Saccharomyces cerevisiae S288C: one gene and its partner. The protein of the gene in region 1 purifies or fractionates together with the protein of each later gene. This does not show direct contact. Each region holds a gene or a part of one and is shown on either strand. Other genes may lie near its edges. The genes, in order: MAM3 and VSB1.

Region 1 (4,622 bases):
GTTTGCACCAGATAGTGCGCCACATTGGATTCCTAACTCATCAGTAACATAGGAGGATAGCAATTGCACACCCTTGGAGCCCAACTCGAACCCTTTTAGACACGAGATGGCCCTTACATGAGGGGCCACGTGGCCTTGCAATTGTTTGACTATGTTTGGTAAAAATTGATGAGGGATGTTGAAAACAAGGATGTCAGCACCCTTGATGGAGTGTAAAAGATCAGGATCGGCCACTAGATTATGGGGCAGGTCAATATTGGGTAGATATTTAACGTTCTGGTGTCTTGTATTTATGATATCCGTCAGATTTTCGTCGCCGATCTTTTCATCAAAAACCCACATTCTCACCTCTGGCTCGAAGATATGGGAATGCAATTCTGTGTTTTCCGCAATGACTTTGGCGATGGTGGTCCCCCAGTTACCAGAACCAATCACTGTAACCTTGAAGGGCGCACGTTTCAAATGTACAATTGACACGGCAGAGTCCGATCTTCTGATAGGATGGTCCTCATGACAGTGTTTGTGCTGTTTGATATTAGTATGAGCAGTCATCTTTGAGTGCAGTTGTGTTTGTAATAATGATCTTCTTAGGAAAGTAGATCTTGAAGGCAAAATTTTATATGCACGACGAGTATATAACACCGGATGCGTTCGCTTAAGGAATGTGTATCTTGTTAATCTTCTGACAGCAAGCATTGATAAGGAAGGGGAGCGAAGGAAAAGGAAAGGGAAAGAGAATTGAATCTACCAAAATACATAAACTTAAAAATTAATATATAAAAAAAAAATCTAAAGGAGTAGAAAGAAGAACCCAAGGATAAATCAAGGAAAAAGCTTAGTGGAAGGAAAAAAAACTAGAAAAAAAGTAACAAGAAAAAAAGGCAAGAAGAAAAAAAAGTAAAACCAAAAAAAAAAAAAAAAAATACTAGAATGACAGGGTAGAGAAGAGCTGCTGAACAATAGATTAATCGGAATAACAATGGCAATAGGTCCGTAAGCTAAACACTCTTCCCCTCAGCAACCCATCGGCACCTCGCCGCAAAAGCGTAATATAACAATGGCAGAGCCATCGTCGTCTTATTGTTTCGAGCATACTCAAACCTTCTTCATCATGTGAAGGAAAACAAACTCGGTAATGATGATGACTGAATCTTAGAAGATACACGCTTGCATGATGGCTATGGCTAGAGGCTAAGGCGATATGATGGTGATGGTGACGGTGATGGTAATTCCTTGCTCCAGTTTTTATTTTTCGCCCTCCCGAATTGCTGTCATCAACGGGTGGGGTGGGTGATGGCTCAGGATTAGCTCATCGCGCACGGTTACCTGGGGGCGGTGCCTGGGTTGAGGAAGGCGCGGGTGCTCGGATGTTCCGATAAAATAACCGGAGTTTGTAACGTACAGAGTGAGATATACCCTAGGGCATACCGTTCATTAAAGCAGGGTATTATCATAGAAACGAAGTCAGGGTTAGGGCTAGTATTTGTTTTCTTTCTTCATTCTTTTGGTTTCTTTAAATTCTAAATTAGCAAATGGGAAAAAAGGGACGACCTTGGTGATTGCACATAGGCTTTCCCCATTCGTGCTTGTTTGCTTATTACATAATAAAAAAAGAGTTGATATCGTCACAGTTACTTGCTGCTGCGTCTGTTATTTGCACGAAACTCTCCCCACTATAATAGATATGTCGTTTTTGCCACTAAGGTCTAGGTCACGATCAGGCGCTCCTCATTGGGTATACATCATCTTATATCACATCTTTACGATACCGAAGATATATTCACTGCCGTTGTTATCCGGATCACACGTACTCAATTCTAGGGATGTTGCCGATTCCGGCCATAGCGTAGGTGATGAGGCAAGCGTTACCACGTACTATATTATCTCTATCATCCTAGTGCTGCTGGGTGGTGTATTTGCAGGATTGACGCTGGGGTTGATGGGTCAAGATGAAGTCTACCTGAAGGTAATCAGCACTTCAGGCTCGAATTCTGAAAAGAAACTGGCCAAGCGGGTGCTTGACCTAATATCTAGGGGGAAGCATTGGGTTCTAGTCACACTGCTGCTTTCTAATGTTATAACCAACGAAACATTGCCTATTGTTTTGGACAGGTGTCTTGGGGGTGGTTGGCAGGCTGTAGTGTCGTCAACTATTCTAATTGTGATCTTCGGTGAAATTATTCCGCAGAGTGTCTGTGTTAAATACGGGCTGCAAGTTGGGGCATTCTTCTGCCCCTTTGTTCTTGTACTGATGTATCTGATGTACCCAGTCGCATATCCGATCGCGACTCTCCTGGACTATATGCTGGGTGAAGATCATGGTACGATGTACAAAAAATCCGGCTTAAAGACTTTGGTCACCTTGCATAGGACCATGGGGGTGGAACGGTTGACTAAAGACGAAGTTACAATCATCTCTGCTGTTTTGGATCTAAAGGCAAAGAGGGTTGAGGAAATCATGACTCCGATTGAAAACGTGTTCACAATGAGTGCCGATACCATCCTAGACGATAAAACTGTCGAAAAAATCTTCAACTCAGGGTTTTCTAGAATCCCGATTTTTTTGCCCAATGAACCAAACAACTTCATCGGCATGTTACTTGTCAGGGTGCTTATCTCCTACGATCCTGATGACTGCCTCCCAATCTCCCACTTCCCCCTAGCCACGTTGCCAGAAACTTCCCCGAACACATCTTGTTTGAATATTCTGAATTACTTCCAGGAGGGGAAAGCTCACATGTGCGTCGTTAGTAAAGAGCCGGGCTCCTCGCATGGCGCTATTGGTGTTTTAACTTTGGAGGATGTCATTGAAGAATTGATCGGTGAAGAAATCGTGGACGAGTCTGATGTCTTTGTGGACATGCATCAGCATATTATGAGACAACAACCGGGGCCCTTGAGCAAAAGGCACATTACTTCCTATTTGCATCATTTGTACACTAGCTCTCACAAGGAGCACAAAGCTGCTGACCAAGCTGATGAATCGTCTCCACTCTTGTCTCCATCCAATTCTAATCACCCATCCGAGCACCCACAGCAAGATTTGAATAATAAGTCTTGGAAGCAGAAGTCAAATGATGGTTACGACAGGTCCAACGCTGTATTGTCTCCAACTCCACAAGTGACGGAACATGGCACCATCATACCTTCAAATCTAGCGTCCAACCCGTTGAACGTAAATAAATCTTTTGTTACCATTAAAAAGCCTGCCAATGTTCCGAAAATCATTACTACACACACTCCTCATTCTAGCAAAGAGCCTTCTCCAGCACCACACTCAAATGATAAATCACTCTCCGCCGAAGAACAACAACTATTAAGTGATCATGCAGAGCTATCTCGCCAAGCTGTTCTCCATACTCAACGGTCGGGTCAACCAACTCAAGTTACTACCTCGACTAAAACCACGAGAAATAGCCCTGATAGTATATCAATTCCAAATTCTGGCGCGAATCACGGCAACGAAAATCAAAACGTTACAATCTCAACCTCTTACCAAAATACGAAGAATGGTATTGTGGAATCTGTCATCACAGTCAAAGGTGTTCCAAAAACCATCATTGGCCCCGCAAAAGATTGGGACGAATCCAAAAGTGAATATGGAAACGAGAATATCAATCAAGAGAATTCTAATCGAAGTGACGATAGAGAAAGTTCAAGTTCAAATGCAAGTTTATTTTCCAGTATTAAGAATAAATTTAAGAACGAAAACGCTAACAACAATGATCGTTCTAATTTCACCGACTCTTTGTCAAGAACTTCCAATTATGATGCCAACGGCTCCTCGTCGACCATAAAAAGATGAAGAGATTATGCCAAAAGAATTGCCCATGCATCATAATAACCATCATCACCGTTCTTATTAGTCCCAGACGCATGAAATCACAGGGGAGAGCAGCTTAAAATTTTTTCTACAGACATACAAGAAGAAATTGCAGTTTTTTTTTTTTTGTTTCTCTAACCTATAAATAAAATGTTTCAATACACATACTAAACAAAGAAAAAAAAATGTAGAGAATTTTATACGCAAAATATATAGACACTTTCCCCTATTTTTATCAATAAAAAAATGAACACATCAATGCCACTACCATCCATGCTCGAACAACATAGAAATGGATTCACCGTTATGGATTCTTCTAATTGCTTCACCGATTATGCAGGAGACATCAATAACATCCACTCTGTCCTTACCTAGGTACTGTAGTGTTCTATCTTGAGGAACCGTGTTAGAAATGATCAACTTATCTATACTACTTTGGCCGATTCTTTCTAGCGCATCACCGGAAAAAACACCGTGCGTTATTAAGGCATAAACTTTGGTAGATCCTTGATCCTTCAACAATTTCGCAGCTCTTGTAATAGTGTATGAAGTATCCACCAAGTCGTCGACTATAATACACACCTTGTTTCTAACATCGCCAACAAGCATGGTAGTTTGAACGAACTTGGACGAATTAGAAGATTGCGACGAGGTGGAAGATGTTGAAGTTGTTTTCTTCATTTCAAGGGCCGCAACCCCAGTGGCACCTGAAGAAGTAGTATTTTGGGAGGAAACCAAAGTAGTAACTAATGGCCTTGGAGATACTGGTAACGAACCACCAGAGGTTAACGTCGCATCT
Region 2 (5,732 bases), on another chromosome or scaffold:
CGTTTATTTTGCCTCCGAATTAAAATGTCTAACTGACGTTTGTGACAGTATCATTTCGTTCCCTCCTGGTCATGTCTACGATTCTGAAACGGACAAGATTACTCGTTACTTTACCCCAGACTGGTTGGATGAAAAGCGTATCCCATCCACCCCAGTTGACTACCATGCTATCAGACACAGTTTAGAAAAGGCCGTTAGAAAGAGGCTAATGGCTGAAGTTCCATACGGTGTTCTTCTATCCGGTGGGCTGGACTCTTCTTTGATTGCTGCGATTGCTGCTCGTGAAACGGAAAAAGCTAATGCTGATGCTAACGAAGACAACAATGTTGACGAGAAGCAACTTGCAGGTATCGATGACCAAGGCCATCTACACACATCCGGTTGGTCTCGTTTGCATTCGTTTGCGATTGGTCTACCAAATGCACCTGATTTACAAGCGGCTAGAAAAGTCGCCAAATTCATTGGTTCTATCCACCATGAACACACTTTTACATTACAAGAAGGTTTGGATGCTTTGGACGACGTGATCTACCATTTGGAAACTTACGACGTTACCACTATCAGAGCTTCTACACCAATGTTCTTACTATCTAGAAAGATTAAGGCCCAAGGTGTCAAAATGGTTCTTTCTGGTGAAGGCTCGGACGAAATATTCGGTGGCTATCTATATTTCGCACAAGCACCTTCTGCTGCAGAATTTCACACCGAATCTGTGCAACGTGTCAAGAACTTGCATTTGGCAGATTGTTTGAGAGCTAATAAGTCCACGATGGCTTGGGGTCTAGAAGCTCGTGTTCCCTTCTTAGACAAAGACTTTTTGCAGCTATGTATGAACATTGATCCAAATGAAAAGATGATCAAGCCAAAGGAAGGACGTATCGAAAAATACATTTTAAGAAAGGCATTCGACACTACAGATGAACCAGATGTTAAGCCATACCTACCTGAAGAAATCTTATGGAGACAAAAGGAACAATTTTCCGATGGTGTTGGCTACTCATGGATTGACGGCCTAAGAGACACTGCTGAAAGGGCCATTTCTGACGCCATGTTTGCCAATCCAAAGGCTGATTGGGGCGACGATATTCCAACCACCAAAGAAGCTTACTGGTACAGGCTGAAGTTTGATGCTTGGTTTCCTCAAAAGACTGCGGCAGACACTGTCATGAGATGGATTCCAAAGGCCGATTGGGGTTGTGCCGAAGATCCTTCAGGTAGATACGCCAAAATACACGAAAAGCACGTCAGTGCTTAATACGAGCGCAATCGTATTCTTATAATTGACGAGTGAACCAAGAAATGCGGTGATACAAACGGATATTAATCTATATAGATATATGTATATAATAAAAGTTTTCAATCTGCTGACCCCTTAGGTTACTTATCTATAGGATTCGAATTACGATATGAAACCCTTTCGGTAGATATCACATGGAATACTGCAGCCGATTGATTAGTTAATTTCTTATCTCGCTTTTTTTCTCTTTATCTATCTATCTATCTATTTATCTATCTATCCTTATGCTGCAAAATGAAAAATTCCCTAGGAAGTTCGCGCTATCAAGGTTCTTTTTCCCACGTATCGGTCCCTGAGTGGATCCCAAAAAATGTGTGGGACTATGACTATATATATAACAGTCACAGTTGAATCATATTAATGTTCTATTTCTTGAGGTGATTTCAAATTGTGGCTCCAACAAGTAATCTCGGCAAGCTATCCCTTTTTAAATAATATTTTGCATTCTTTTTCTTTTTTTTTTTTTTTTTTTTCCATCTCACAGCCCTTCTTTATTTTTTCAATAAGGTAACAGAGTTGATAAGGAACCAGATAACAATCAAAAAGAATCGTTTCATTTCAGAGCTACCACCGGTCTATAAGCAAGACAGTTTAAAATCTCAAAAATTTAATTTAGAAATATGGGAAGGACTATTAGGAGACGCCGGAGTAATTCGTCGCTTTCGGAGGCCATATCAGTTTCTTTAGGAATAAATCAAGACTCATCTGTGAACAAGATGCATAGAGCGAGTGTTAGCGCAATGTCTCCTCCATTATGCCGTTCATACATGAGCGGATTTTTTACTGGTGGAAACTCACCTATGATCAATAATTTGTCGGATTCAAAACTTCCCATCTCGAACAAACAACATCCTAAAGTGATACATGGATCAGAAAATTTGCATAGGCAGACAGCTCAACTATCCAATGAATTTTGCTCCTCTTCTGTGGAAGAAAATTCTCCCACAATTAAGGATTACATGGACATTATAGGCAATGGTGATAGAAAAGATGATCAATCTATGCGTACTATAGAAGAGAATATTGATGAAGAATATTCAGATGAGTACTCCAGATTGCTACTTAGCCCAGCATCGTCTAACGTGGACGATGACCGAAATCGAGGACTACAGAATAGTTCACTACCGGAATTAGAAGATGGTTACGCGGGCGGATATCAGTCACTTCGTCCCTCCCATAATTTAAGGTTTAGGCCAAGAAACTTGTGGCATATGTGTACGTCATTTCCTTCCAAATTTGCACATTATCTGCCCGCAGCAGTGTTAGGTTTGCTTTTGAACATTTTAGATGCCTTATCTTATGGTATGATCATTTTTCCAATCACAGAGCCAGTTTTTTCTCATTTAGGGCCCACTGGTATATCCATGTTTTATATTTCCACCATAATATCACAAGCCGTGTACTCCGGAGGCTGGTCGAGTTTTCCTTCCGGGATTGGGAGTGAAATGATTGAAATTACTCCGTTTTATCATACAATGGCATTAGCTATAAAAGAGGCATTAGCAGGTAATGATGACGAAATCATAACGACAACGATATTTTGTTATGTGATAAGTTCGATGCTCACAGGTGTCGTTTTCTATGCATTGGGTAAACTACGACTAGGAAAGATAGTGGGATTTTTTCCACGACACATATTGATTGGCTGTATTGGAGGTGTTGGTTATTTCTTGATAATTACAGGAATTGAAGTCACAACGAGGGTGGCGAAATTTGAATATTCATGGCCTTTTTTTTCAGGGCTGTTTACGGATTATGACACATTAGCGAAATGGTTATTACCTGTACTATTGACTGTAGTTTTAATCGGCACTCAACGCTACTTTAAGAACTCACTCGTTTTGCCAAGTTTTTACATCTTGACGTTAGTTTTGTTTCATTTTATTGTTGCGATCATTCCAACATTATCCTTGGATGCTTTGAGACAAGCTGGATGGATTTTTCCTATTGCCAACTCAGATAGTAAATGGTATGACCATTATAGATTATTTAATGTCCATAAAGTTCATTGGTCACTAGTTTTGCAACAAATACCAACGATGATGGCATTGACATTTTTTGGTATCCTACATGTTCCTATAAATGTTCCTGCGTTGGCTATGTCACTACAAATGGATAAGTATGATGTTGACAGAGAATTGATTGCACATGGTTATTCCAACTTTTTTAGTGGATTATTAGGTTCTGTCCAAAATTACTTGGTATATACCAACAGTGTTCTGTTTATTAGGGCGGGCGCTGATTCGCCATTCGCTGGGTTCCTTTTAATAGCTTTGACTATCTGTATTATGATCATTGGACCAGTCATAATATCATTCATTCCAATCTGTATAGTGGGCTCTCTAATTTTCCTACTAGGCTACGAGTTATTAGTGGAAGCGTTGGTCGATACATGGAATAAATTGAATAGATTCGAATATTTGACTGTTGTCATTATTGTTTTCACGATGGGTATCTTTGATTTTGTCCTAGGTATCATCGTTGGCATTTTAATTGCATGTTTTTCGTTTTTGGTGGATAGTACGAAATTACAAACCATTAACGGTGAATATAATGGGAACGTCGCAAGAAGTACAGTATATCGTGATTACGTTCAAACAAAATTTTTGGATGGAATTGGTGAACAAATATATGTTTTAAAGCTCCAAAACCTTCTGTTTTTCGGAACAATCATATCTATTGAAGAGAAAATTGAAAGATTGCTGCAAATAAGTAACAAAGATGCAACAAAACGCAGAATAAAGTATTTAATATTGGACTTTAAAAATATTAATGCCGACAATATTGACTATTCTGCGGCAGAAGGTTTCAATAGAATTAAAAGATTCACGGAAACCAAAAGAATCAAACTAATCATATCTTCAATCAAAGAAAGGGACCGTATTTACAACGCCTTCAATAATGTGGGATTACTAAACGATGTGGAATTATTTGCTGATTTAAACAGTGCGTTGGAATGGTGTGAAAACGAATTCCTTTTTCAATATAAACAATTAAGAAAAAAGGCGAAAGAAAGATTGGAAGAAGGAAAGCAAAATAATGTCGTATCCGCAGTAATTGCAGCCACTAAAAACAAAAAAATTGATACAATAGGAAATGGTTTAAACAGGGGAAGCAATGGAGACACAGCGAGAAACTTAATGTCACTACCAACCAATACTCCTCGTAATTACCAAATACTTTCTGTAGCACAGAATGTATTTGTAAACGACGAACAAGCAGTGAAGAATTTCAAAAAGGAGTACAAAGATGATGAACCTGTCCTGCCTATATTGTTATTTGCATTAAAGCAGTACCGACCCGATATAATATCTGAAGTTCAAAAAGTAAGAGAAAAGGAAATCAAGTTTTGGGCACAACTCTGCCCCTACTTCACCAGGCGCAGATTAGCAAGTCAATCACATTTACTACATGCAGACAACATTTTTTTCCTTGTGGAAACAGGTATGTTGAAGGCAACATATGAACTACCACAAGGAACCTTGTACGAGATTTTTTCAAATGGCACATGCTTCGGAAAAATCATTGCGCCAGGGAATGCTATGCCTAGAGAACAAAAGCTCACCATCGAAACTGAAACTGATTCCGTATTATGGGTTATAGACTCTAGCTCGTTGAACAAATTGAAAGAAGACAATCTAGCATTGTACGTGGAGGTTGCATTAATGGTCATGTGTATCAAGGACACCAGATTCAAAGAATTACTAGGTTACACACTTGTTAGCGCATGAGAGCGTACACGTATATTTATTTAATTTCTTTTATTGCCGGCGTATTGCAAGTAATTTACACCAGTACTAAATAAAAGCAGGATGCTCCTGCATCTGTATAAGTGATGCCGTTGTAGGATTTTTACCATCTCGACTATAAACTTTTTGTACTTGAGTCTTCACTTCCGGAATTTTACTGCGCGATTTTCTTTGATAGGGCCCCTATCGTAGACGAAAAGTGATAATTCCCATCGATGAGCAACTACATACCTCACTTGACTTAATTGCTCTCCTAAAGAAAAAAAATACCGTTACTTTTTTCATTAATATACTACCACAACAATTCACAACGGGTAGTTGTACGGTTAGTTTATATCCGCATTAACAAATCAAAGTCATAACAACGTATCAACGTAGACTATGCCTGTCCCATCTGTTACTGTCACTACCGATAATGAATATGAAGACATATCGTCCTTTTCTTCTATTGACTCTTACAAACCGGAGCCCTTTACTGGGTTCAAAGATTCTGAAGCTCCAGAACAGCCTCTTTTAAAAAACGATACCATTGTTGGAAAGGGGCAACTGGAAGATGATAGTAATGTAGATGATCAACACCGTCATTCAGATGTGCATTCTCATCACAGTTCTAGTACTTTAAAAAGGCCAACTTCAAATTCGATAGAAAAGATGGTTACCCACAATGCTTTAGAGGGCAACTCAGA

The links.
Region 2: the proteins of MAM3 (region 1) and VSB1 purify together in Saccharomyces cerevisiae (affinity purification with mass spectrometry, with the first as the bait; one large-scale study listed by BioGRID). This does not show direct contact.

Annotation. Positions count from the first base shown.
Region 1 is NC_001147.6:213,200-217,821, reverse strand, and holds MAM3 (Mam3p), read left to right. Parts: upstream 1-1,684; coding exon 1,685-3,805; downstream 3,806-4,622. Other genes in the region: glycerol-3-phosphate dehydrogenase (NAD(+)) GPD2, read right to left, coding at 1-696; ribose phosphate diphosphokinase subunit PRS5, read right to left, coding at 4,088-4,622. UniProt on the Saccharomyces cerevisiae protein: Involved in metal homeostasis and more specially in manganese sensitivity.
Region 2 is NC_001139.9:740,408-746,139, forward strand, and holds VSB1 (Vsb1p), read left to right. Parts: upstream 1-1,917; coding exon 1,918-5,028; downstream 5,029-5,732. Other genes in the region: ASN2 (asparagine synthase (glutamine-hydrolyzing) 2), read left to right, coding at 1-1,255; YGR126W (uncharacterized protein), read left to right, coding at 5,428-5,732. UniProt on the Saccharomyces cerevisiae protein: Amino acid transporter involved in vacuolar uptake of basic amino acids for storage during nitrogen replete condititions. May function as an amino acid/proton antiporter.